4 linked regions of the Anolis sagrei genome follow. The protein of the gene in region 3 purifies or fractionates together with the protein of the main gene of each other region. This does not show direct contact. Links are inferred from orthologs where the notes say so. Each region holds a gene or a part of one and is shown on either strand. Other genes may lie near its edges. The genes, in order: NOM1, RPLP1, RPL13 and STAU1.

Region 1 (7,119 bases), on a different chromosome or scaffold from region 3:
AGTCCTGAAACTTCTGGAGAATTACAAGATCCTAGTTATGATTTAAGGGTGATCAGATGCAACTTTGAATAAACATACTGTATATGCATTTAAATCTATTTTCTTCAGATGAAACATACCTATAGAACCCAGCCTCATTTGTGATAAACTGCATGTATTTAATACAGATTACAAACTTTCTTAAGCTCCATAAACATTAACAGAATAATTGTGGAGATAAATAAACCTCTTTCAAAATTGCTGGCTGAGAATCTGAATGTCAGATGCCATGTTTCATATCAAACCTAGCATATGATCACACATATGGAGTGGAAGGGAGGAAAGATACTAATTTTGTTCTGAAAAGCCAAACGACAAAGCAAAAGAGGTGCTAGACATGCAGCCATGAAAAATAAGTTCTACTCAAGCCCTGTTGGTTGAACTCTAAGACAAAGTTGGTTAACACAATTTCTGGAGTACCTGTTAATTAAACCTTTCAAACTTTTTTTCAGCCTTTCTAATTCTTCCATCTTCTTTGCATCTAATGTCTCTTCAGACCTTCGCATCTGAGGGGGAACATATTTAGTGGCACTCTGGGTAAGGCTCTAAACAAAACAAGGACAAAATGTTTTAGTAAGTAATTTTGTATTTCAGAATATATCTGAATATTTAGATTGAAGATGACTAAGCAGTTCATTGTATGTATTTCATTATACTATCAATGTGAACTTCACAAAAGGCTACTTTAAAAAAAAGCATAGGCAGTTAGTGCCATGAGGATAATAACTAGTAATACTACACATCCCAAACCATTTCAGGATGCATGATACTTTTAGCCATTATTAAAAGCCTGCTTAAACAACCAGGTTTTCATCTCCTTCCTGAATGTTATGAGGGTGGGTGCTTGTCTAATTGGCAAAAGTATGATAGCTGAGACCCTACGCTAATTGCGCAACGAGGGTCAGAATTAATGAAGGGAACACGTGTGCGAGACAGCGGAGTGAGTGAGAGACCCAGCTGCGACAGCATAGCAGTGAAGTAATTTAACTCAGAAGAGACCGGATAAGGTAATGTAACAGTATTTTCCACCTCCTTTTTATTCTTCCTTCCATTGGTCGTCTTTCCCCCCTCCTTTTTATCCTTCCTTCCATTATGACTCCGCTACAGTTGTGTCTTTCATTCAGTGCGCTGACTCACGCATATGTTCCCCTAATTCAGACCCGTGTTGTGCGAGCAACATAGCGTAGGGTCCCCGCTATCATACTAGTAAAGGTACAGGTTTTCTCCTGACATTAGGTCCAGTTGTGTCCGACTCTGGGGTGTGGTGCTCATCTCCATTTCTAAGCCGAAGAGCCAGCGTTGTCTGTAGACACCTCCAAGGTCATGTGGCCAGCATGACTACATGGAGTGCTGTTAGCTTCCCACCAGTAGACCTATTGATCTACTCACATTTGCATGTTTTTGAACTGCTAGGTTGGCAGAAGCTGGGGCTGACAGGGAACTTGCAGCTTTTCAGTTAACAAGCTCAGCAGCTCAGCGCTTTAATCCACTGTGCCACTGGGGGCTCCCATACTATCATACTATTGCCATCTAATTTCCCTGGGGAGGGCATTCCAAAGTCGGAGGGGCACTATTGAGAAGGCCCTCTCCCTTGTCCCCACCAACCTTGCTTGTAAGGGAGGTGGGATTAAGCAAAGGGCCTCCCCAGCTGATCTTAGAGCCTGTACTGGTTCATAAGGAGAGATGTGGTCACGTAAACCGGCAGGACCCAAACTGTATAGGGCAGTGGTTCTCAACCTGTGGGTCCCCAGATATTTTGGATTTCAACTCCCAGAAATCCTAACAGCTGGTAAACTGGGATTTCTGGGAGTTGTAGGCCAAAACACTTGGGGACCCACAGGTTGAGAACCACTGGTATAGGGCTTTATAGGGTTTGAATTGGACCCACAGAAACCTTTTGCACAGACCTCGCCATCTTGGAGCGACTCCAAAGTTCTGCCTCTTGAACTTTGAAGTTCATTGGCGGCATCTCCACCATCTTCACTGTCCTTTTCTTCTTCTTCCATACTGGATTCTTCTGAATCTTCTCCCTCCATGCTCAAATCCTCCTCCTCCTCCTCCTCATCATCATCATCTGAAGCTTCTCCCTCCATGCTCAAATCCTCCTTCTCCACATCATCATCATCTAAAGCTTCTCCCTCCATGCTCAAATCCTCCTTCTCCACATCATCCTCATCATCTGAAGCTTCTCCTTCCATGCTCAAATCCTCCTCTTCTTCCTCCTTCTCCACATCATCACCATCTTCTTCTTCCTCCTCCTCATCACTTTCTTCTCCCTCTTGCTTGGCCATTCCTCCTTTTCTCTCTTCCTCCTCTTCCTCGGTGGTGCTCTCGTAGAGGCCGGAGAAGGCGTCCCCAGGCCCGAAGGCCCCCAAGACGTAGCCCAGACCATCTAGGGCGAAGCTGCGAGGCAAGGCCGCCGCCTCGGCCTCCTCCAGGCCCTTCTGCCGCCGCTTCTTCCTCCTCTTCCCGAGGCCCAGCTGCCTCTCCAGGCGGCGGATCTCCCTCTCCTCCGCCTCGTTGGCCGCCAGCAGCGCCTTCTTCCTCGCCTCAAGTGAGGCCTTCCCCGTGGGGAGAACTTCCTTTCTCGGCTTCTTCTCCTTCTCCTTTTTGCCTGAGGAAGGCGGCAGCGATGGGGGAGGCCTTTTCACCTCCATAACGGCCTTCTTTTCCTTCTCTTCCACTTTCCCCCCGTTCAGGAGCCACCGCCGTTGCTTTCGCTTCCATTTGCGCTTCTCTCGCCTCAGTTCGCGGCGCTTCCCTCGAGGCCTCTGCTTGGGAAGGCCCTGCACACAGCCGCTGCTTCCGTTCTTTTCGCTCCCCGCCGGGACTGAGGCCTCCACGAACTCCCGCACCGCCAGGCCCAGTTTGTGGAGCTGCTTCCCGGCCTGCCTTCCCCGGCCCCGTGAGGAGAAAGAGGCCTTCATGGTGTCGCAGGCCTGCCTTCTCTTCAAACACACCACTTCATGGGCGCCGCCATTTTGGAAAGGGAGAAAAACAAAAACAAGAGCAGCGCCACCTGCTGGCAAGGCAGCGAAGGCTTTGTGTAGGGCTTCACTTTCGGACTTCATTTCCCAGAGTTCCTCGCCGTTGCCCAAAGTGGCCGGGGCTTCTGGGAGTTGTGGTCCAACATGCAAAAGCTAGACGCCACTCTATCTATCTATCTATCTATCTATCTATCTATCTATCTATCTATCTATCTATCTATCTATCTATCTATCTATCTATCTATCTATCTATCTATCTATCTATCTAATCTATCTAATCTATTTTATCTAATCTATCTTATCTAATCTATCTTATCTAATCTATTTTATCTAATCTATCTCATCTATCTATCTCATCTATCTATCTCATCTATCTATCTCATCTATCTATCTATCTATCTAATATAAAAATGCTCTGTGTATAATTAGTACCTTCAACCAGGGGATCACAACCAGACACAGTGAAGACATCTGCCCTTGTGCTTTGCTACTCTGCTGCTGAGTATGCATGCCCAGTGTGGAATACATCTCACCACACTAAAACAGTAGATGTGGCTCTTAATGAGACATGCCGCATTATCACAGGGTGTCTGCGCCCTACACCACTGGAGAAATTACACTGCTTAGCCGGTATCGCACCACCTGACATCCGCCGGGAAGTAGCAGCCAATAGTGAAAGGACCAAGGCAGAGACATCTCCAGCTCATCCCTTGTTTGGGTATCAGCCAGCACGTCAACGATCTAAATCCAGAAATAGTTTTCTAAGATCTACAGAGACACTCGCTGGAACACCTCAGCAAGTGAGAGTCCAAAAGTGGCAAGCTCAAACCAGGCCCGTAGCCAGGATTTTTTTTTGGGGGGGGGGGGGGGGGAGGCTGAATTTTTTTCAGGGGCCGTTTGGGGGGGGTGAGTTTCAAGGGGGCTGAGTCTGAGTGAAAGAGGGTCTAGCCTAGCAAACTTTTTGTATCGTTGCCCCAATACCCCCATGCATATGGGATATATTGAGTATGGTGATCAGATCATGATATGAATAAACATAACAGTTTAAATAATGCACCAGTAAGGCCTTTTCATGAACCACCATGAGAATTTGGGGGGGGGGGGGGAGGCTGAAGCCCCTCAAGCCCCCCCCCCCCCCCCCGGCTACATGCCTGGCTCAAACCCAGAACCTCAACCAATGGCTGATACCAAATGAGAGACTCCCCCCTGGGCACACAGAGGACTGGGCGACTGGGAAGGCGCTGAACAGACTGCGCTCTGGCACCACAAGATGCAGAGCCAACCTCAAGAAATGGGGCTACAAAATGGAATCCTCAACATGCAAGTCTGGAGAGGAGCAAACCACTGACCACCTGCTGCAATGCAGCCTGAGCCCTGCCACATGCACAATGGAGGACCTTCTTGCAGCAACACCAGAAGCACTCCAAGTGGCCAGATACTGGTCAAAGGACATTTAATCAACTACCAAACTCACAAATTTTGTATTTTGCCTGTTTGTTTGCTTTGTTCTGTTAGAAATTTAATATAATTGACTGGCTGCCCTGACACGACAAATAAATAAAATAAAATAAATTTCCCAGAGTTCCTCGCCATTGCCCAAAGTGGCCGGGGCTTCTGGGAGTTGTGGTCCAACAAGCAAAAGCTAGAAGCCACTTATTAGAAATCAAGCAAGCAAGCAAGCCTGACTGCTCATTGGAGGGAAGAATAGTAGAGGCCAAAATGAAGTACTTTGGCCACATCATGAGAAGACAGGAAAGCTTAGAGAAGACAATGATGCTGGGGAAAATGGAAGGAAAAAGGAAGAGGGGCTGACCAAGGGCAAGATTTTATTTATTTATTTACTTATTTCAGGCATTTCTAACCCGCCCTTCTCAACCCCCGAGGGGAGGACTCAGGGCAGCTTACAAAAGGCACAATTCGATGCCTACACAATAATACAGATAGACATATATACATTTATTTATTTACTTTATTTGTATACCGCTCTTCTCAGCCGTTAGGCGACTCAGAGAGGTTTACAACAATTTAGATATACACAATACAAAATCATTAAGCATTTAAAAGCAATAGCATCACAAATCATTAAACATCAATATCAATACATCACTACATCCATATAACAAATCCATCAGGTCTCATCCATGAAATCAGAATCCAAACTCGTTATCCGATATTCCGTGTTCCGATAGTCAGTCAATCAATCACACCTCTTAGTCGAATGCCTGTTCAAACAGCCAGGTCTTTACTTTCCTCCGGAATGCCAGCAAGGAGGGGGTCGATCTAATATCTGCAGGAAGGGCGTTCCACAGCCGAGGGGCCACCACTGAGAAGGCCCTGTCTCTCGTCCCCGCCAGGCGTGCTTGTGAAGCCGGTGGGATCGAGAGCAGGGCCTCCCCAGACGATCTTAATGTCCTAACTGGTTCATAGGAGGAGACTCGTTCGGACAGGTAGGTCGGGCCAGAACCGTTTAGGGCTTTAAAGCCTAAAGCCAGCACTTTGAATTGTGCCCGGTAGCAAATTGGCAGCCAGTGGAGCTGGTGCAGCAGTGGAGTGGTGTGCTCCCTGAGTGCCGCTCCTGTTAGCATCCTGGCTGCCGATCGTTGGACCATTTGAAGCTTCTGAGCAGTCTTCAGAGGCAACCCCACGTAGAGAGCACTGCAGTAGTCTAAATGGGATGTGACTAGAGCATGGACAACCGTGGCCAAGTCAGGCTTCCCAAGGCACGGGTGCAACTGGCGCACAAGTTTTAACTGTGCGAATGCTCCCCTGGTCACCGCTGAAACCTGGAGTTCCAGGCTCAGCGATGAGTCCAGGGTCACACCCAAGCTGCGAATCTGCGTCTTCAGGGGGAGTGTGACCCCGTCCAACACAGGCTGTAACCCTATACCCTGTTTGGCCTTACGACTGACCAGTAGGACCTCTGTCTTGTCTGGATTCAATTTCAATTTGTTAGCTCTCATCCAGTCCGACACAGCAGCCAAGCACCGGTTCAAGGTCTGGACAGCCTCCTTAGTGACAGGTGAGAAGGAGTGACAGATTTGGACATCATCTGCGTAGAGATAACACCTCATTCCGAAACTCCGAATTATCTCCCCCAGCGGCTTCATGTAGATGTTAAATAACATCGGGGACAGAATTGAACCCTGTGGGACTCCACACAAGATGGATGGATGGCATCCTTGAAATGACTGGATTGACCTTGAAGGAGCTGGGGGTGGTGATGGCCGACAGGGAGCTCTAGTGTGGACTGGTCCATGAAGTCACGAAGAGTCGGAAACGACTGAACGAATGAACAACAACAACAACTTATTAGAATGCAGCTACGTCCATCTTCATCGCTATGATACTTCATCTTGTTGATGGGAAACTTCCCACCAGAGTGGAAATCAACTATCTTGACAGATGGCAAGCTATTTAACCTCAGCAGACTGAAAGCCAAAACCAAGGTCACAACAATATCTGTTATAGAACTCCAATATGCCAATGACAATGTAGTCTGTGCGCATTCAGAAAGATCTACAAGCCACTCTATAAACACATTTGGAGAAGCATACAAGAAGCTCGGCTTCTCATTGAACATCGAGAAAACCAAAGTGCTCTTCCAGCAGTCACCAGCCAGTCCCTCTGCAATCCTTCTGCAATGCCAGAAATACTGCTTAATGGTGTAACACAAGAAAATGTTATTATTATTATTTATTTATTTATGGCATTTACAATATATATTTTCATACAATATATTATATTATTAGCATAGTACAATATCAGTATTATATATTACTATATTGCACTATACCATTATATTGTAATATTATTAGTTGGCCATTTCCGCTCCCTTGGCAGCCACCTCTCCACAAAATTTATCATTGGCATTGAAATACAACACTGTCTGAGCTCTGCGAGTGCAGCATTTTTCCAAATGAAGCAGAGAGTGTTTGAGGATCGGGACATCCGTAGGGATACCAAGGTGCTTGTTTATAAAGCTATTGTCCTTCCAACTCTGCTATACGCCTGCGAAATGTGGACTGCTTACAGACGTCATACGCAACTCCTGGAACGATTCCATCAGCGTTGTCTCCAAAAAAATCCTGCAAAT
Region 2 (7,213 bases), on a different chromosome or scaffold from region 3:
AGCTCATAGTGGACTATAGGAAGAAGAGACCGAAAATTCAGCCCTTGCCATGAATACTTGGTTTGCATGCTTTAGAAAAACACCTGTGTTCACTGGTAAACCCCTAGCTTTACTGGAAAACGACCTATAAATTTATTTATTTTATTATTTATTTACGGCATTTATATGCTGCCCTTCTCACCCCGAAGGGGACTCAGAGCGGCTTACAATATATATTTTCATACAATATATTATATTATTAGCATAGTACAATATCAGTATATATTACTATATTGCATTATACCATTATATTGTAATATTATTAGTAATATTACATGTAATGTAAATATATAATTATAATATTGAATTATTACTAGTATTATATTGTATTACATTATAATATCATATGTATATACAATATACTATATTATATTATCAGTAAAGACAAGATGGAAAATTATTATATAGTACAATATAATATATAATACTAATATTGTGCTATGCTGATAATATATATACACATTTAATATGAATAATAGTATCTAATGTAATACAAAAGAATACTAATATTGTGCTATGCTAATAAAATAATATATATACATATAATAGTATTATATATAATGGCACTCCATGCAGTCATGCTGGCCACATGACCTTGGAGGTGTCTATGGACAACACCAGCTCTTTGGCTTAGAAATGGAGATGAGCACCACACCCAAGAGTCAGACATGACCGGACTTAATGTCAGGGGACAACCTGACCTTACCTTAAAATAATAGTATTATAACTTGAAAACAACATATACATTATCTTGTGATTTAAAACTGTGGCACCTGTACCCTAATCCTATAGCCTTCTAGACTAGCACTTGATATCTCCTCGCCTCGTGGTAATAACGCATAAGACCACTTTTACTAGCAGGCTTATGTTTGGCCTGTGGGGGAAGGGTGATTGGGAAACTGTTTTAATCTGTTGTATTCCATCCATGTTTTAACTATTTTATAATTTGAAATGTTATATTTATTATTTGTATTAATATTGAGACATTGAATTTTGCTATAATTTGTAAGCTAATCTGATTCCCCTTCAGGGTGAGAAGAGCAGGGTAAAAATATAGTAAATAAATAAATAAAAATGTTATAGAATACTATCCTAAAATTATATACATTTTATAATAGTATTATAAAGTAATACAATCTAATCCTAATAATACAATATATTAATGATGTGCTATGCCAATACATTTATTTATTTATAGTATTTATATTTCACTCTTCTCACCCCACAGGGGACTCAGGGCAGATTACAATGTACATATACGTGGCAAACATTAAATGCCATAAGCACACAACATATATAGACAGGCACACAGAAGCTATTTAACATTCCAGCTTTCATGAGGGTATTCTGGCCACCAGGGGAATTGTCGCTTCACCATCCATTAGTGACAATGGAGTACTTCCTCATAGAATCATCGAATCAAAGAGTTGGAAGACACCTCATGGGCCATCCAGTCCAACCCACTGCCAAGAAGCAGGAATATTGCATTCAAATCACCCCTGACAGATGGCCATCCAGCCTCTGCTTAAAAGCTTCCAAAGAAGGAGCCTCCACCACACTCCGGGGCAGAGAGTTCCACTGCCGAATGGCTCTCACAGTCAGGAAGTTCTCCATTCTTTTTGCATAGTCGCTGAAGATTTTTATGGCGTCGTAAATTAGTTAAATTAGCCTCCCCGCATAAGTGGTGCCTAAATTTCCTACTTGACAGATGCAATTCTTTCGGGCTGCAGAAGCCGACAGCAAGCTACACAACAGTCGGAAGCGCACTCCGACCCCGGCTGGCTTCGAACTCATGACCTTTTGGTCAGTAGTGATCTTAATGCAGCTGACTCCCAGCCAGCTGCACTACAGTCGGTGCAATACATACACAGAGTATAATTTTAAGTTGTCATGTTTTTAATTGTGAGCCACTTTTGAGTCTCCTAATGTAGAGATGCAGTGGGTTAAACCCCTGTGCCAGCAGGACTGAAGACCGACAGGTCACAGGTTCGAATCCAGGGAGAGGCAGTTGAGCTCCCTCTATCAGCTCCAGGGGACATGAGAGAAGCCTCCCACAAGGATGATAAAACATCAAATCATCGTCCCCTGGGCAACGTCCTTGCAGATGGCCAATTCTCTCACACCAGAAGCGACTTGCCGTTTCTCAAGTCGCTCCTGACATGGCAAAAAAAGTGGGATGCAAGTTAATAAATATTAACCTGCAAGTATCTGAAATTTTCAGCAGCTACCTGATATCTGCTCTCATGAGCTAGAAGCTATTCATTGAATCCCTTGATATTGGCAACCCATCAGTATCCCATTACGAGGCACTTACAAAAGATCCCAACGCTGATACTGGCCATCCAACGAAAACCCAGTGATAAATGTTGGGATTGAATTTACCTTTGCAAACAGGCCAGGCCAGAAAGGTTCCACATTGACGCCTGCTGCTTTGATGAGAGCATTGATCTTGTCCTCCTAAAACCAAAGAATATGACATAGTCAGATACTATAAAGCAGGTTTATTTGGATGCAGGCATGGGCCGGTAGGCTGTTAGGAATTGTGGGAGTTGGAGTCCAAAACCCCCGGAGGGGAGGGCCCAAGTTGGCCCATGTATTAGCTCCGCGCATGCGCCCTCGCTCTTCCCAAGTTTGCCCATGCTTGCTTCCCAGCATTGCCTCCACGCATGCGCCCTCGCTCCTCCCGTTTGCCTTTGCATGCTTCCCAGCATTGCCTCCGCGCATGCGCCCTCGCTCCTCCCCGGCCTCCTTCCCTACTTCAGGCACTGACCGTGATGGCAACCTCGTCGTCGTGGAGGATGAGGGCGGAGTAGATGCAGGCGAGCTCGGAGACGGAGGCCATGGCGGGTCCGGAGAGGGGAAGAAGAGGGCGCGGTGCTGGTCGCCGGCTGGAAACTCGGCCTTAGCTTCGTCGGAAGGACGCAGCACCTTGTGCGCTCCGGCCTGAGGCAGAACAAGGAAAGGAAGGCCTCGCGCCCGCCGCGCCGCTTATCAAGCCCGTCTCGTCCAATCAGCAGCCGCCTCGGGACAGCGCGCTGGCCAATAAGCGACTCCTTTGTGTTTCTCGAGGGCCAATCGCGTCAGAGAGCGAGGGTGGGCCTCATGGGTTGGTCGGCCGGGTTTGCGCGAGAGTTCGCGAAGCCAATCAGAGCGAGGCATGCTCCCCGGTGAGACAAAACCGCGTGGTGTGAAAGCAAGAGCGTCCAATCAGCGAAGGACTTGTTGGCGCTTATAGAGATAGAAATTTTAAAGATGGCCACCGGGAGATTCAGGCCTTAAAGCGCCTTAGAGTTATAGAGCGTGTTCATAGAATCAGAATCATAGAATCAAAGAGTTGGAAGAGACCTCATGGGCCATACAGTCCACCCCATTCGGCCAAGAAGCAGGAATATTGCATTCAAATCACCCCTGACAGATGGCCATCCAGCCTCTGCTTAAAAGCCTCCAAAGAAGGAGCCTCCACCACACTTTCAATTAAAAACCTTATAAGGCAACTTAAAACGTACCAATATACAAAATAAAACAGTATTATCATTATATATTATTGTATATTATCAGTGGTATAATAACTAATATATTAATTAGTGGTATATTAATATTATACCAATTATAATTAATATTCTTATGTATTATTATAATTAATATATTTCTATTATATTGTATAATTATATTGTGAAGATTGTATACATTACAATATTATTTATAATATATGTCTATACAATACAATACAACCAGAGATATGTAGTCACCTACGGATGTGAGAGCTGGACCTTAGGGAAGGCTGAGCGAAGGAACATAGATGCTTTTGAGCTGTGGTGTTGGAGGAAAGTGCTGAGAGTGCCTTGGACTGCGAGAAGATCCAACCAGTCCATCCTCCAGGAAATAAAGCCCGACTGCTCATTGGAGGGAAGGATACCAGAGACAAAGTTGAAGTCCTTTGGCCACATCATGAGGAGACAGCAAAGCCTAGAGAAGACAATGATGCTGGGGAAAGTGGAAGGCAAAAGGAAGAGGGGCCGACCAAGGGCAAGATGGATGGATGGCATCCTTGAAGTGACTGGACTGACCTTGAGGGAGCTGGGGGTGGTAACGGCCGACAGGGAGCTCTGGCGTGGGCTGATCCATGAGGTCACGAAGAGTCGGAGACGAATGAACGAATGAACAACAAAATACAATACAATATTAGTGTTATATATATTATTATATAGTATAATATTGTCTTACTATTAATATAAGTTTATACAGTATATTAGCATAGCACAATATTAGTATTATACTATACGTAGTATATTATACTATATATACGGTGGCGCAGTGGGTTAAAGACCAGGAGGTCTCTTCCAACTCTTTGATTCTATGTAAACCCCACTTGCCTAGTTTCCAATAAATCTCGCAAACTCTGAGGATGCCTGCCCTAGATGCTGGCGAAACGTCAGGAGAAAATGCTTCTGTAACATGGCCATACAGCCCAAAAAACTTACAGCAACCCAGTGAATCTGGCCATGAAAGCCTTCGATAAGACAATAGAATCAAAGAGTTGGCAGAGACCTCATGGGCCATCCAGTTCAACCCCATTCTGCCAAGAAGCAGGAATATTGCATTCAAATCACCCCTGACAGATGGCCATCCAGCCTCTGTTTAAAAGCTTCCAAAGAAGGAGCCTCCACCACACTCCGGGGCAGAGAATTCCACTGCTGAACGGCTCTAATAATAATAATTGTGCAGAAGCCATTGTTATTATGTTTGTGTTTAACTGTTAGAGTATGTATTTTTGTTTGTAACAGTAGCTAAAACTGGAGTCATCTGGTTTGAATCCACAGTGAGCGTTGCCAAGGAGACGAGGCTGGCTAGCTCATGAGAGGGAGAAGTGAGCGGAGCCAAGCAGGAAACGTTATGTGCGTTTTTAAAAAAGGCCAGAGAGTGAGGCTTGGAAAGGCCTGAGAGAGAGGCTTGTGTGTGAGCGGCTGGTGTTTTTTCAGTCTAGGAGGGCTGAAGAAACCTGGCCAGATTCTTTAGTCAAAGAAGACAAACGGAAGCCTAGTTAAGATCCCTAGTTAAGGAAGGACTAGAGATCAGAGATTTGATCGAGGGAAGATCAAATTGAAAGGCTATTTGTAGTAGTGAAACATTGTTCACTAGAGAGCTTCACTTCAGTGAAAGTTAGCCACAAGCTGTGTTATTTATTTATTTATTTATTTATTTACTGTGCTTATATACCGCTGTTCTCAGCCCGGGGGCGACTCACAGCGGTGTACAACATAGAGAGGACAGGGTGCAAATTACAAGACACAATCTAAAATCAATCTAGCAATAACAAAAAACATCGTCATCAACAACATCAACAATATCAATAATACAAAAAGCCATTTGCGTCGTCTCATCGTTAAACCACAATCCAGTATCATTTTCCGTTGTTCCATTCCTGTCGTCATTACCAATTATTGCACTTCTTGTTCGAACGCCTTCTTGAACAGGCAGGTCTTTAGTTTCCTGTGGAATATCATCAGGGAAGGAGCCAGTCTGATGTCCATGGGAAGGGTGTTCCACAGCCGAGGAGCCACCACCAAGAAGGCCCTGTCTCTTGTCCCCGCCAGGTGTGCCTGTGAGGCAGGCGGGATCGAGAGCAGGGCCTCCCCGGACGATCTCAAAGTCCCCGTGGGCTCGTAGGCCAAGATGCGGTCATATAAGTATCTTGGGCTGGAACCGTTTATCTGGAAGAGTGGACTGTATTATAAACCACATGATGTTCAAAGTTCCATAAGTTATTTAACAGCCTGCAACTATAAGCTTTGTACACAATAAAGTTGTTATCTTTGTTGAAAACCGTCTCATCTCAACTAATCTGCGTCTGTAGAGCCAGATCTCATCGGTGGTACCTCAAACTGTTGGTGGCCGTTACCTTAATTTACAAATAATAATTGGCCTCCTCCATAATATTCTCTTCTACACCATTGAGGCCTGAGGTAAATTCCCTCCATAACACCCACATCTGTACAGTTGGTGGCAGCGGTGAGATTAAAAAGTGCCTGAGGTAAAATACTTCCATTATTAGGACCTCAGCAACACACAAGCACCTCCTCGCAACTGGTGATAGCGGTGGGGATCTTCAAAGCTAAAATCCCTATACCCTGTCCATTGTTGAGTTCACATCTTCCCAATAATAATAATGAGTCTTGTTTTCTATTTGTTTCGTGTGAGCGAAAAGCAGGCCCACTTGAGGGTGGCTCCGAGGCGGGAAACCCTGAGGAGGGTTGTTTGAGGGAAGAGAAGGCCGCATCTCTGAGGGCGAGGCCTGGTGGAAGTCCTGAGGCAAGAGCGGCCTCCCTCCCTCCTTCCTTTCTATGACTATATATATATTTATTATTTATTTATTTATTAATGCACTTGTATACCGCTAATATCTCAGCCTAAATCGGCGACTCATTGCGGTTTACAACATTTAAAAAACAATATTCAGTTAAAAGCATAAAACACATATACAGTACAAATTATTGGGCCACCAATAACAATCCTATGCATCTCATAACTGGAATCGTAATCCAAAATTCATCGTCCGTGTATAACCAATCCTTAGTCATCACAATTCGTTACAACGGATTAACCGAATGCTTGTTTAAACATCCATGTCTTCAATCTTTTCCGAAACACCATCAGCGAAGGGGCTGATCGTACCTCTATGGGGAGGGTGTTCCAAAGCCGGGGGGCCACCACAGAAAAGGCCCTATCTCTCGTCCCCGCCAGCCGAGCTTGAGAAGCAGGCGGGATCGAGAGCAGGGTCTCCCCGGAAGATCTCAAACTCCTGGTGGGTTCATAGGCAGAGATGCAGTCAGATAGGTAGCTTGGGCCGGAACCGTTTAGGGCTTTAAAGGCCAACGCCAGCACTTTGAATTCAGCCCGGTAGCAGATCGGTAGCCAGTGGAGTTGGCGCAACAGGGGGGTTGTATATATATAATCATAATAATAATACTACAGTGTGTGTGTATATATATATATATAGTAAGCCGCTCTGAGTCCCCTTCGGGGTGAACAATAATAATAATAATAAAAAATTATTCGGGGTGAATAATAATAAATAATAAATAAGGGGACTCAGAGCGGCTTATATATATACATAGTGTGTGTGTGTATATATATATATAACGATAATACAGTATATGAACTTGGATGTGTCTAT
Region 3 (7,127 bases):
TCGTTTCAGACTTAGGTTGACCCTGAGTGAGGGCCGGGTAAATGACCTTGGAGGGCTGTATCTGGCCCCCAGGCCTTAGTTTGAGGACCCCTGAAATACACCACTGAATCCAATTAATACTAACTCCTCTGCAGAGTCTAACCAAGTTCCCTAATTCTATAGGTCTCCTGTAACTGATAAGAACAATTACGAAATTGTTGTATAAAATTATTATATGAAGCCGCAATATTTTACAGAGTATACACTAATAGCATAGTACACATTTACTTCATGTAAAATGTGTTTTGATAATAATTTTATTGATTAGCCTTTAAGACATACCACAATAGCAAACTAATGTATGTTAGATAAAACTACATGGTCCATAGTGAATCTACACTGTAGCATTAATACAGTTTGGCCCCCCATGGCTCAAGGCTATGGAATCCTGGGAGCTGTAGTTTTGCAAGGAGCTGAGCTGCATTCATTGTAAAATATAGACCAGGAACAGGCCAAATTGGGCCCTCCAGGTATTTTGAGAGTTGGAAGTCCAAAATAATAACAAAACTTTATTTATATCCCACCTTGTCTCCCTGAGGGGTCTCAGGGTGGTTTACAACAGATATCGGCAAACATTAAATGCAGTGAAAAACTGGACAAAGACAAAAACAACGAACCCCCAAATCCCTAAAACAAATCCACATCTACATCAAAAATAAGAACACATTATACTGCAATATTACTAGCAATATTATATATCATATACAATAATATTGTTGTGTATTATTGCATAGGTAAAGGTTTCCCTTTGACATTAAGTCTAGTTGTGTCCGACTCTGAGGGTTGGTGCTCATCTCCATTTCTAAGCTGAAGAGCCGGCATTGTCCAGACACCTCCAAGATCATGTGGCCGGTATGACTGCATGGAGCACAGTTACCTTCCCGCAGATGCGGTACCTATTGATCTACTCACATTTGCATGTTTTCAAACTGCTATGTTGGCAGAATCTGGGAGTGGGAGCTCACCCCACTCCCCAGATCCAAACTGCCAACCTTTTGGTCCCTTAGTTCAGCAGCTCAGTAGTACTACATTGTACTATATTATGCCACAAAACATACATTATCAGTACGTTATAATGTTAGTATTATATATATTTGTATATGTTTTGTATAACTGTGTTTTTAATTGCCTTTTGATGTTATTGTGTTAATCTTTACTGTGTAAACCGCCTTGAGTCGCCATTTCGGCTGAGAAAGGCGGTATAAATAAATACTAGTTGTCCCCTGCCACGCATTGCTGTGTCCCAGTCTATGTATATATGTTTTGTGTGTGTATATATTTCTGTATATATTTATGTACATGTGCATGTTGTGTATATATGTGGTTTTGTGCATGCGTTGCAATGTATGTTTTGCTTTTTTGGCTTTTAAAGTCTCTTCTGCTGTGTTTTCAGTGTTTTACGAGTGATGGTCACTCGTTGGCCTGATATGTATCTTGTGTCCAAATTTGGTGTCAATTCGTCCAGTGGTTTTTGAGTTATGTTAATCCCACAAAGCAACATTACATTTTTATTTATATAGATTGTATCCTATCATTGGTACTACATAGTACTATATTATTATTGTTTATTCGTTCAGTCGTCTTCGACTCTTCGTGACCTCATGGACCAGCCCACGCCAGAGCTCCCTGCCGGCCGTCACCACCCCCAGCTCCTTCAAGGTCAGTCCAGTCACCTCAAGGATGCCATCCATCCATCTTGCCCTTGGTCGGCCCCTCTTCCTTTTACCTTCCACTTTCCCCAGCATCATTGTCTTCTCTAGGCTTTCCTGTCTCCTCATGATGTGGCCAAAGTACTTCAACTTTGTCTCTAGTATCTTTCCCTCCAGTGAGCAGTCGGGCTTTATTTCCTGGAGGATGGACTGGTTGGATCTTCTCGCAGTCCAAGGCACTCTCAGCACTTTCCTCCAGCACCACAGCTCAAAAGCATCTCTCTTCCTTCGCTCAGCCTTCCCTAAGGTCCAGCTCTCATATCCGTAGGTGACTACAGGGAATACCATGGCTTTGACTAGGCGGATCTTTGTTGCCAGCCTGATGTCTCTACTCTTTACTATTTTATCGAGATATTATTATACCACGATATATATAATACACTACTAGTATATTATGTTAGCATTATATATTGTATCGTAAGTTGTAGTACATACAATATATTATATTGCAACATATAATACAATTTATATTAAAACACCTGGAGGGTCCAAGTTGGCCTATGTTTGGTATAGTAAAACTGCAAAGCCCACATTCCACAGCAATGAGCCAATAGTAAAAAGTGATGTCAAACTGCATTAATTCTACAGTGTAGAAAAGGCATGGGCCAACTTGGGCCCTCCAGGTATTTTGGACTTCAACTCCCACAATTCCTAACAGCCGTAGGCTGTTAGGAATTGTGGGAGTTGAAGTCCAAAACACCTGGAGGGCTCAAGTTGGCCTATGCCTTGTGTAGAGACATGCATAGTTACCTAAACAAAGGTGGCTAAGGGCAGCAACAACTACTGCTATATGAAGCCTATGGCTATTAAAATGGGGAGATTAAAATGGGAATAAACCAAAGACACCCAGAAGGAAGCCCCTCCCCACTCACCAATATACCTTTAATTATACTAAAGAGGGTCGTGAATTTCCTACGGAACCCAACTATCAAGCAAATATTCCCATTGACAAGAATCGATGGCGGCCCAGGCCTTGACAGCGCCTCGGAGGGGCCGCTCACTTCCAGGGCGGCCTTTCCCTCCCCGCCCCAAAGAAGCCTGCCTTCGTAGTCGTGGGGCCCCCGAGAATCCCCCCGCTCGCCTGAAGAGCCACTCACCCCGCTTCAGGCGGAGGATGGCGGCAGATAACGCCCCGTCCCCCTCCGCGACACAAGAACTCACCTCCCGGGAGGGAAAATGGCCGGCCGGAAAAAGAAAGAAGCGCCGCACGGGACGCCGGGATATGTGTAACGCTGTGCGTGGGCCAGAAACGGAAGTCTCCGAATCAGGGCCTTTGGCGGCGTCAGCTGCTCAGCGACATGCAGATCCGTGCCATCAACAAACATGGCGACGGTTTTAAAGGAGCCGCGCGCTCCTGGCTGCTTCTTCTTTATATTTATTTACTAGCCGTCCCCTGCCACGCGTTGCTGTGGCCCAGACTGTGTATATTTGTTTTGTGTATTTATGTGTGTACATATTTGTGTTTGCGTATACATGCCTATGGATGTATGGAGAAAGGCAGGGAGTTTCAGAAAAACATCTATTTCTGCTTCATTGACTACTCTAAAGCCTTTGACTGTGTGGATCATAATAAATTGTGGCAAGTTCTTAGTGGGATGGGCATCCCAAGCCACCTTCCCTCTCTCCTGAGGAATCTGTACAAGGACCAAGTAGCAACAGTCAGAACTGACCACGGAACAACAGACTGGTTCAAGATTGGGAAAGGCGTCCGGCAAGGCTGCATCCTCTCACCCAACCTTTTTAACTTGTATACAGAACACATTATGCGATGTGCGGGGCTTGATGAGTGCAAAGCTGGGGCGAAAATTGCTGGAAGAAACATTAACAACCTCAGATATGCAGATGACACCACTCTGACGGCCGAAAGCGAGGAGTAGCTGAGGAGCCTTCTAATCAAGGTGAAAGAAGAAAGCGCAAAAGCCGGGTTGCAGCTAAACGTCAAAAAAACCAAGATTATGGCAACAAGAATGACTGACAACTGGAAAATAGAGGGAGAAACCGTGGAGGCCGTGACAGACTTTGTATTTCTAGGTGCAAGGATTAATGCAGATGCAGACTGTGGCCAGGAAATCAGAAGACGCTTACTTCTTGGGAGGAGAGCAATGTCCAGTCTCGATAAAATAGTGAAGAGTAGAGACATCAGACTGGCAACAAAGATCCGCCTAGTCAAAGCCATGGTATTCCCTGTAGTAACCTACGGATGTGAGAGCTGGACCTTAGGGAAGGCTGAGCGAAGGAAGATCGATGCTTTTGAGCTGTGGTGTTGGAGGAAAGTTCTGAGAGTGCCTTGGACTGCGAGAAGATCCAACCAGTCCATCCTCCAGGAAATAAAGCCCGACTGCTCATTGGAGGGAAGGATACTAGAGACAAAGTTGAAGTACTTTGGCCACATCATGAGGAGACAGCAAAACCTAGAGAAGACAATTATGCTGGGGAAAGTGGAAGGCAAAAGGAAGAGGGGCCGACCAAGGGCAAGATGGATGGATGGCATCCTTGAAGTGACTGGACTGACCTTGAAGGAGCTGGGGGTAGTGACGGCCGACAGGGAGCTCTGGCGTGGACTGGTCCATGAGGTCACAAAGAGTAGGAGACGACTGAACGAATGAACAACAACAAAAGGTAGTCCCCTGACACTAAGTCCAGTCATGTCTGACTCTGGGGTGTGGTGCTCATCTCCATTTCTAAGCCGAAGAGCCAGCGTTGTCCGTAGACACCTCCAAGGTCATGTGGCCGGCATGACTGCATGGAGCGCCGTTACCTTCTTGATCTACTCACATTTTCATGTTTTCGAACTGCTAGGTTGGCAGAAGCTAGGGCTGACAGCGGAAGCTCACGCCGCTCCCCGGAATCGAACCTGCGACCTTTCGATCAACAAGCTCAGTAGCTCAGTGCTTTAACCCACTGCGCCACCGGGGGCTCCCATACATATATATGTGGGTGTATATATTTGTGTATATACATCCACACATATATATGTACACACCCATATATACACCTCTCTCTCTCTCTCTCTCTAAATATATATATATATCTTATGTGTGTATATATATTTGTGTGTATATATTTGTGTACTGCGAGAAGATCCAACCAGTCCATACTTCAGGATTAAAAGCCCAACTGCTCATTGGAGGGAAGGATAGTAGAGGCCAAGATGAAGTACTTTGGCCACATCATGAGAAGAAAGGAAAGCTTAGAGAAGACAATGATGCTGGGGAAAATGGAAGGAAAGAGGCAGAAGGGCCGACCAAGGGCAAGATGGATGGATGGCATCCTTGAAGTGACGGGCTTGACTTTGAAGCAGCTGGGGGTGGTGACGGCCGATAGGGCGCTTTGGCATGGGATGGTCCATGAGGACACGAAGAGTCGGAAGCGACTGAACGAATGAACAAAAAAATAGATTTGTGTGTTTATATGTGTACATGCATATTGTGTATATGTATATATATGTGTGCATGTATGTGTGTATATGTGTGTGTGTGTATATGTATATTTGTGCATATATATACGTGTGTGTGTATGAATGTGTGTATGTGCATATGTATATGAGTATATGTATATATGGTGTATTTTTGGGGGTTTTAAGTCTGTTCCGCTGGGGTTTTGTGTGAGTGTGCGCGCGTGTTTATGGGTGATGGACACTCGCAGGACAGTTAGGTGAAGTCACACAAAATTTGGACACACTACACCTAACAACCCAATGTATGTCCTTCACTCATAAAAACACTTAAAAACACAGCCGATGGGACTTTAAAAACCCCCAAAAGCTTTTCCTGATGTTTTGCCTGCATCTGTGACAGGTATCCTCAGAGGTTGTGGTCTGTTGGAAACTAGGAAATGGCATTTATATATCTGTGGAATAATGTCCAGGGTGGGATAAAGAACTCTTGTCTGTTTGAGGCAGGTGTGAATGTTGCAATTGGCCACCTCGATTAGCATTTCATGGCCTTGCAACTTCAAGGTCTGATTTCTTACTGTCTGGGGGAATCCTTTGTTGGGAGGTATTAGTTGGCCCTGATTGATTCTTGTCCGGAACTCCCCTGTTTTCAGAGTGCTGTTCTTTCTTTCCTGTCCTAATTTTAGAGATTTTTAACACTTGCAGCTAGAATGTGTTCATTTTCATGTTGAAATTGTCCAAATTGTCCTTTCTGTTGAAATTGTCCACATGCTTGTGGATTTCAAAGGCTTTTCTGTGTAGTCATGGAGGAAACCCAGAAAATGAAAAAAATCTGACTTTTTCTAAAAACTTTAAAATTAGGAAAGTAAATAAAGAACAACACTCTGAAAACAGGGGAATTCCAGATATGAAACAATTGGGGCCAGCAAAGACCTTCCAACAAAGGATTCCCCCAGGTAGGAATCAGCTCAGGCAGGAACTCTCTGCCCCGGAGTGTGGTGGGGGCGCCTTCTTTGGAGGCTTTTAAACAGAGGCTGGATGGCCATCTCTCAGGGGTGCTTTGAATGCAATTTTCCTGCTTCTTGGCAGGGGGTTGGACTGGATGTGTGTAACATGCACAGATATCTATAATAACTGCAGAAAAAAAAACCTGCAGATTGCAAATCACAATTTCTATATTACAGGAAAATCTTCATTCAACAAAACGTGGGAACAGCGGGAACTGTTTATAAATGAAAGGTTGCTTATCAATATTCTGTAAACACAATGAAATTTAAGCTTCCAAAGTGACAATTACTATATACCAGGAGATTCTTCATTAGTTCATGACCTCATGCATAGTTTTGAAAAGGTTGAAACTATGTCAATATGGGGATTTTAATATATCTATTTTCTGTATGTTGTTTTATTTCTTATTCGGTGAATTCAAACATCATAGATAAGAATAACACCAGAAGAAGATATTACAAAACAAGGAAACAGAGACCTTGTTGTATTATGTACTATTCCTGATGTTATATATTGATGAAGAACTTTTTACAACAAATTGTTACTTTGGAAACTGAAATCTCATTATATTCTAAAAACATTGATAAGCAACTTCGCATGAGGTCATGAACTAATGAAGAATCTCCTTTATGCTTGTGGGTAAACTGTATTTGATTACATTTTCTTGCCCTGGTGAAGGGAGTTGGACTGGATGGTCTTAAGTATTTTCTACCGGTCATAGGGGTTCTGTGTGGGAAGTTTGCCCCAATTCTATCGTTGGTGGGGTTCAGAATTCTCTTTGATTTTTGGTGAACTATAAATCTCAATAACTACAACTCCCAAATGTTAAGGACCATTTCCCCCCAAGCTCCATATGTGTTCCTAGTTGGGCATTTGGAATATTTGTGCCAAGTTTGGTCCAGATCCATTTTTGTTTGAGTCCACAGTGCTCTCTGGATGTAGGTGTACAAAACTCAAGGTCAATGCCCACCAAAACC
Region 4 (7,916 bases), on a different chromosome or scaffold from region 3:
CTACAGCATTTTACATGAATTCTACAGCATAGATCATATACCAGCTGTTAGGAGTTGAAGTCCAAAATGCCCTGAGGGCCCAAGTTTACCCATGGCTGGCATAGATGCATCCTGAATCAGTTTGGTAGCATAATGTAAACCAGTGTTATCCCTCAGATGCATAACACAACAGCAATCCTGCCTGGATCAAACCATAAGTCTCTCTGTGCCCCATATCTGCCAAACCACAGATGTCTCTGGGAAATCCACAAAAAAGAAGATATAGGCCCCTTCCACACAGCTGAATAAAATTCCACATTATCTGCTTTGAACAGGAATATATGGCAGTGTGGACTCAGATAATCCAGTTCAAAGCATATATTGTGGGATTTTCTGCCTTGATATTCTGGTTTATATGACTATGTGGAAGGGCCTATAGAGGAGGAGGCAATGAGGAGCGACAGATGTGCGAGCTGCAAACCCAGAAGAAATTGAGAGGTGTAGAGAAGAAGGTCAAACAGGCAACAGAAAATAAATTTCCCTTGTATAGATGGAGTATTCCTGATCTGAAATCCTTGGGGCCAGAAGTGTCATTGGGCCCTTCCACACAGCCATATAACCCAGAATATCAAGGTAGAATATCCCACAATATCTGCTTTGAACTGGGATATCTACCAAATAATCCAGTTCAAAGCAGAAAATGTGGGATTTTGTTCAGCTGAGTGCCAGGGGCCTGAGCCATATCAACAAGTTCACTGTGAATTTTATACAGCTGTGTGGAAGGGTAATTTTGACCTGAGATTTTGAAACACCTGCATATGTACACACGAGACAACACGCCCAAACACAAGGACCCGTTTACGTTTCGTAGGAAGGTAGTTTCATACACCGTATTCTTGGAACAACATTCTGCACATTAAGCCAAGCCCCCTTCCACACAGCTGAATAAAATCCCACATTAGACGTTGAGACACTCATGAGGGTGGCTCCCTGCACACAGGCTAGGAGGCCTTCCACAAAGCTACATAACCCAGAATATCAAGGCAGAAAATCCCACAATATCTGCTTTGAACCGGGTGATCTGAGTCCACACTCAGATAATGTGGGATTTCCTGCCTTGATATTGTGGGATATAGGGCTGTATGGAAGGGCCCCGAGTCCAGACTACCATATAATTCAGTTCAATGTAGATTTTATACAGCTGTGTGGAAGAGGCCCTAGGGCCCCTTCCACACAGTTCTATATCCCAGAATATCAAGGCTGAAAATCTCACATTATCTGTGTGGACTCCAATAACCCAATTCAAAGCAGATATTGTGGGATTTTCTGCCTTGATATTCTGGGATATAGGGCTGTGTGGAAGGGCCCACAGTCAGAATATCAAGACAGAAAATCCCACAATATTTGCTCTAGAACTGGGTTATCTGAGTTCACACTTATACAATCCAATTCAAAGCAGATAATGTGGGTTTTTATTCAGCTGTGTGGAAGGGGCTCTAGTTAAAAGCAGATATTGCGGGATTTTCTGCCTTGATATCCTGGGCTATATGGCTGTGTGGAAGGGCCCTCAGATAACCCAGTTCCAAATAGGCATTGTGGATTATCTGCCTTGATTTTCTGGGTTATATGGCTGTGTGGAAAGGCCCTCAGATAACCCAGTTCCAAATAGGTATTGTGGATTATCTGCCTTGATTTTCTGGGTTATATGGCTGTGTGGAAGGGCCCTCAGATAACCCAATTCCAACCAGATATTGCAAATTATCTGCCTTGATTTTCTGGGTTATATGGCTATGTGGAAGGTCCCTCAGATAACCCAATTCAAACTAGATGTTGTGGATTATCTACCTTGATATTCTGAGTTATATGGCTGTGTGGAAGGGACCTGAGATAACCCAGTTCCAAATAGATATTGGGGATTATCTGCCTTGATATTCTGAGTTATATGGCTGGGTGGAAGGGCCCTCAGTTAACCCAGTAACAAACAGATATTGTGCATTATCTGCCTTGATATTCTGAGTTATATGGCTGTGTGGAAGGGCCCTAAAATAACCCAGTTCCAAGCAGATATTGTGGATTATCTGCCTTGATATTCTGAGTTATATAGCTGTGTGGAAGGGCCTTCTAATAACCCAGATTCAAACATATATTGTGGATTATCTGCCTTGATATTCCGAGTTATATGGCTGTGTGGAAGGGCCTTCTAATAACCCAATTCAAACTAGATGTTGTGGATTATCTGCCTTGATATTCTGAGTTATATGGCTGTGTGGAAGGGCCCTAAAATAACCCAGTTCCAAGCAGATATTGTGGATTATCTGCCTTGATATTCTGGGTTGTATGGCTGTGTGGAAGGGCTCTCAGATAACCCAGTTCCAACCAGATATTGTGGATTATCTGCCTTGATATTCTGGGTTATATGGCTGTGCGGAAGGACCCTCAGATAACTCAGTTCCAAATAGACATTGTGGATTATCTGCCTTGATATTCTGGGTTATATGGCTGTGTGGAAGGCCCTCGTGGGTGTCTCCCCCTCTCATGGGGAGGGGGGAACCTTTCACCATCTGAAAAGTCAAGGTGTCACTCTCTCGGCCTCTCGTGGGGGCCATTTATAATCGGGAAGCTGGAGTTCCCCGGGGAAGGGGTCTTCCTCCGCAGTCGGGCGCCCCCACCGGCCGGCCTTCAACCAGAGGAGAGGAGAGGAGCCTCCGCCAGACCCCTCCTCCTCCTCCTCCTGGGCTTAGGCCCAACCGCGGTCTCCTCCTCCTCCTCCTGCTCTTCCTTCTCCCCCGAAGGGCTGCGAGGGGAGGCCACGGGAGGGGGGCGTCCCAGCCTCTTCCCTCCCTTCCCTCACCTGGTGCTTCTTCTGGGCTGCGGCTCCCGGGCCGGCTCGTGTGGGCGGCGGGCGGCTCAGTCCATCGGAGGCTCCGGGCAGGGCGGGCGGGGAGGGGTCCAGGGCGGGAGGGGAGGCGAGCGAGTGGCGGCGGCGGAGGCAGGCACAGGGCAAACACTAAAGAGAATGAGAGCGGGGCCAGCTCCGGCCGGGGGAGGAAGTGACGCAGGCGCGGCGGCGTAAGGGGCGGGGCCCTACTCCACTTGCTATTTATACAGACCAAGCATGGGCGAACTTGGGCCTTCCAGGTGTTTGGACTTCAACTACAACCAATCCTCACAGCCTCAGGCCCTTTCTTTTTCCCCCTCAGCCGCTTAGCAGTATGTGTGAAAAAGATCTTGGAGTCCTCGTGGACAACAAGTTAAACATGAGCCAACAATGTGATGTACCGGCAAAAAAAAAGCCAATGGGATTTTGGCCTGCATCAATAGGAGCATAGTGTCTGGATCTAGGGAAGTCATGCTACCCCTCTATTCTGCTTTGGTTAGGCCACACCTGGAATATTGTGTCCAATTCTGGGCACCACAATTCAAGAGAGATATTGACAAGCTGGAATGTGTCCAGAGGAGGGCGACTAAAATGATCAAGGGTCTGGAGAACAAGCCCTATGAGGAGCGGGTTAAGGAGCTGGGCATGTTTAGCCTGAGGAAGAGAAGGCTGAGAGGGGATATGATAGCCATGTATAAATATGTGAGAGGAAGCCACAGGGAGGAGGGAGCAAGCTTGTTTTCTGCTTCCTTGGAGACTAGGACGCGGAACAATGGTTTCAAACTACAGGAAAGGAGATTCCACCTGAACGTGAGGAAGAACTTCCTAACTGTAAGAGCCATTCAGCAGTGGAAATCTCTGCGCCGGAGTGTGGTAGAGGCTCCTTCTTTGGAGGTTTTTAAACAGAGGCTAGATGGCCATCTGTCAGGGGTGATTTGAATGCAACATTCCTGCTTCTTGGCAGGGGGTTGGACTGGATGGCCCACGAGGTCTCTTCCAACTCTATGATTCTATCAATAATAATAATAATATCTTTATTTATATCCAGCCCCTCTCCTGTAGGGGACTCTGAATGGCTTACGACAAGGCAAAGCCATACAAAATAACAATAACCACATAATACTTTAGAAATTAAGACAAATGATAAACAGAACAGAACATAATGAGAAATATAAATAATAATAATGGTCCCAGTGGTGATCAGCACACTGGGTGCAGTGCTGAAAGGCCTTGGCCTGTGCTTAAAAACAATCACCGCTGACAAAATTACCATCTTGTCAGCTGCAAAAGGCCACCCTACTCGGCTCTGCACACATTATTCGCCGATACCTCACACAGTCCTAGACACTTGAGGAGTGTCCAATGTGTGATTGAATACAAAAGCCAGCAGTTATGTTATTTGCTGTGTGCCAATCTTGTTGTGTATCAAATAACAACAATAATGAATCTTTAATTATATCCTGCTTTTCTCCCACAAAGGGAGCCAAAGTGGCTTCCAACATGTTAAAATACAATAAAGTACAAAACAAAATGATCAAAAAAGGCACGGAAATAATAATAATAATAATGATAATAATAATAATAATAATAATAATAATAATAATGTATTTGTAACCTGCCCTATCTCCCCAGCAGCTTCCAGAAAAGAAAAGAAAAAAACAGCAAACATTCAATGCCAAAGTGAGCAACAAAACAAATCAAAACAACACATAGATAACATCAATATAAACTTTAAAAATATCAAGCAAAAAGTGGGTGCCAGAAATAGTATCATACGAAAATTGACTGGCACAACCTGGGGGTCACAACCAGATACAGTGAAGACATCAGCCCTTGTGTTTTGCTACTCTGATGCTGAGTATGCATGCCCAGTGTGGAATACATCTCACTATGTTAAAACAGTGGATGTGGCTCTTAATGAGACATGCCGCATTATCACAGTATGCCTACATCTACCCCGCTGGAGAAATTATACTGTTTAGTCTGTATTACATCACCTGTCATCCGGTGGGAAGTAGCAGCCTGTAATGAAAGGACCAAGGCATTGACATCCTCTGTTCAAATATCAGGCAATAGGACAATGGTTCTCAACCTGTGGGTCCCCAGGTGTTTTGACCTACAACTCCCAGGAATCCCAGCCAGTTTACCAAAAAACATCTGGGGACCCCAGGTTGAGAACCACTGCAATAGGACAACATCATAAATCAAAAAAATATTTTTCTAAGATCTAGAGATACTCGCAGGAACATCTCAGCAAGCTAGAATCCAAAAGTGGCAGGCTAAAACTTGGAATCTCAATCAGTGGCCAATACCAAATGAGAAGATCCCTTCCACCCCCTGGGCACACAGGATACTGGGCGAGTTGGAAGGTGCTGAACTAACTGCATTTTGGTACGAGATAAGGAGCCAATCTTAAGAGATAGTGCTACCAAGTGGAGTTCACGACATGCGAATGTAGAGAAGGGCAAACCACAGACCACTTACTACAGTGGTTTTCAACCTATGGGTCCCCAGATGTTTTGGCCTTCAACTCCCAGAAATCCTAACAGCTGGTAAACTGGCTGGGATTTCTGGGAGTTGTAGGCCAATACACCTGGGGACCCACAGGTTGAAAACCACCGACTTACTACAATATGATCTGAGCCCTGCCACATGCACAATGGAGGACCTTGCCACAGCGATACCAAAGGCACTCGAAGTGGCCAGCTTCTAGTCAAAGGAAATGGGTTGTTGTAGGTTTTTCGGGCTATATGGCCATGTTCTAGAAGAATTCTCTTATTCTGACAAGCTGGAATGTGTCAAGAGGAGGGCGACTAAAATGATCAAGGGTCTGGAGAACAAGCCCTATGAGGAGCAGCTTAAGGAGCTGGGCATGTTTAGCCTGAAGAAGAGAAGGCTGAGAGGAGATATGATAGCTATGTATAAATATGTGAGAGGAAGCCACAGGGAGGAGGGAGCAAGCTTGTTTTCTGCTTTCTTGGAGACTAGGACGCGGAACAATGGCTTCAAACTACAAGAGAGGAGATTCCATCTGAACACGAGGAAGAACTTCCTGACTGTGAGAGCCGTTCAGTAGTGGAACTCTCTGCCCCGGAGTGTGGTGTTGGCTCCTTCTTTGGAAGCTTTTAAACAGAGGCTGGATGGCCATCTGTCAGGGGTGATTTGAATGCAATATTCCTGCTTCTTGGCAGGGGGTTGGACTGGATGGCCCACGAGGTCTCTTCCAACTCTTTGATTCTATGATGCTATGACGTTTGGCCTGCATCTATGGCAAGCATCCTCAGAGGTTGTGAGGTCCTCACAACCTCTGAGGATACTTACCATAGATGTGGGTGAAACGTCAGGAGAGAATGCTTCTAGAACATGGCCATATAGCCCCAAAAACCTACAACCTAGTGATTCCAGCCATGAAAGCTTTCAAAAATACATTGTAAATTTAGTATAATGCCAAGTTTTTAACTTTGTGGTTTCTTTATACATTACAACTGTATTCTCAATTAGCTTCTGCCATGATGAATAAATAAAATATCATTAATAACAACACTTAACATCATCATTAATATATATAAGCTTTCCCAATATGATCCCACTCCTATCTGCCCTCTCTCCTTCTCGCTCGCCGCTCTCAAAATAACTACGTTTCCCAGCAAGTTTGAAGTGCACTTCCCGGAAGTGACGCAACTCCTCAACTTCAGGGCTTATCGCCTGCCTCCACGCGGCAGCTCAGAATCCTACAACTCCCGGCATGCCTTGCAGGAGGTGGGATTTACAGCTCTGGAGCCAAGCGGAAGGGTGTGCTATTGCCAATCCGTCCTCGGATGCCGGTTCTTCTTGCTGTCAAGACTCAATCTAGAATGGATCCAAAGACCAGTGTTGTTCTTGTGTGGGCTGTACACAAGATACTGCACGCAATTATTATCCATATTGTTTGTGAAATTGTATATAAGGTGTATAAGGGGGCAGCTGCACCAGGCAGGGGCAAGCTTGGGCCCTCCAGGTGTTTTGGACTGCAACTCCCACCATTCCTTACCTCGCGAAGGCTGATCTGTCCGGAGTGATCCATGCCTTGGTCACCTCTAGATTGGACTACTGTAATGCGCTCTACGTGGGGCTGCCCTTGAAAACGGCTCAGAAATTCCAACTGGTCCAATGGGCAGCGGCCAGGATGTTAACTGGTGCTCCTTACAGAGAGAGGTCAACCCTCCTGTTTAAGGAACTCCACTGGCTGCCGTTTATTTTCCGAGCCCAGTTTAAGGTGCAGGTGCTTACCTACAAAGCCCTAAACGGTTTGGGGCCATCCTACCTGCATGACCGCATCTCCGTTTACGAACCCACGCACTCACTGCGCTCATCCGGAGAGGCCCTGCTCGTGATTCTGCCTGCGTTGCAGGCGTGTTTGATGGGGACGCGAGACAGGGCCTTTTCTATGGTGGCCCCCCGACTCTGGAACACCCTTACCAAAGATCTTAGACACGCCCCTACATTGGCAGTCTTTAGAAAGAACTTGAAGACCTGGCTGTTCCGATGTGCCTTCCCAGAATAGGAAAACTCCATAATAAGTCCCAAAAGCACTTTAGTAGGATTGAGATTGCTGAGCACTGCACACTGCACTTGCCCTATAATCCTTACATATCACCTGTCACATCAGCACTTTTAATTCTGTACCCATTACTCTGGCCCGGCCCAGTTTTATTGTGTCTTGGTGTATTGCTTATTGCTTGTTGTTTAATATTGCTTTAATTGTTTTAATTTGATTTCGGTTTTTGTATCATTATGTTGTGTTTTGAGGCCTTGGCCTTTGTAAGCCGCATCAAGTCCTTCGGGAGATGCTAGCGGGGTACAAATAAAGATAATAATAATAATAATAATAATAATAATAATAATAATAATAATTCCTTACAGCCTCAGGCCCCTTCCTTTTCCCCCTCAGTCTCTTAAGCTGATCTTAGAGTCCTCGTGGACAACAAGTTAAACATAAGCCATGCCATGGGGCAGCTAAAAAAGCCAATGGGATTTTGGCCTGCATAAATAGGAATGCAGTGTCTAGATCAGGCAGGGG

Evidence for each region.
Region 1: the proteins of RPL13 (region 3) and NOM1 purify together in Homo sapiens (co-immunoprecipitation; 3 studies listed by BioGRID and IntAct, with this or other methods). This does not show direct contact. The link is inferred for Anolis sagrei from reciprocal best matches to the Homo sapiens genes RPL13 and NOM1.
Region 2: the proteins of RPL13 (region 3) and RPLP1 purify together in Homo sapiens (affinity purification with mass spectrometry; 3 studies listed by BioGRID and IntAct, with this or other methods). This does not show direct contact. The link is inferred for Anolis sagrei from reciprocal best matches to the Homo sapiens genes RPL13 and RPLP1.
Region 4: the proteins of RPL13 (region 3) and STAU1 purify together in Homo sapiens (affinity purification with mass spectrometry; 3 studies listed by BioGRID and IntAct, with this or other methods). This does not show direct contact. The link is inferred for Anolis sagrei from reciprocal best matches to the Homo sapiens genes RPL13 and STAU1.

The regions. Positions count from the first base shown.
Region 1 is NC_090026.1:119,310,110-119,317,228, forward strand, and holds the start of NOM1 (nucleolar MIF4G domain-containing protein 1), read right to left. Parts: upstream 3,026-7,119; 5' UTR 2,967-3,025; coding exon 1,947-2,966; intron 585-1,946; coding exon 460-584; intron 1-459. UniProt on the Homo sapiens protein: Plays a role in targeting PPP1CA to the nucleolus.
Region 2 is NC_090024.1:10,970,821-10,978,033, forward strand, and holds the start of RPLP1 (large ribosomal subunit protein P1), read right to left. Parts: upstream 3,023-7,213; 5' UTR 2,882-3,022; coding exon 2,810-2,881; intron 2,497-2,809; coding exon 2,422-2,496; intron 1-2,421. UniProt on the Homo sapiens protein: Plays an important role in the elongation step of protein synthesis.
Region 3 is NC_090028.1:27,718,527-27,725,653, reverse strand, and holds the start of RPL13 (large ribosomal subunit protein eL13), read right to left. Parts: upstream 3,008-7,127; 5' UTR 2,910-3,007; intron 2,886-2,909; exon of another isoform or gene 2,846-2,885; intron 1-2,845. UniProt on the Homo sapiens protein: Component of the ribosome, a large ribonucleoprotein complex responsible for the synthesis of proteins in the cell.
Region 4 is NC_090024.1:220,680,111-220,688,026, reverse strand, and holds the start of STAU1 (double-stranded RNA-binding protein Staufen homolog 1), read right to left. Parts: upstream 3,009-7,916; 5' UTR 2,831-3,008; intron 1-2,830. UniProt on the Homo sapiens protein: Binds double-stranded RNA (regardless of the sequence) and tubulin.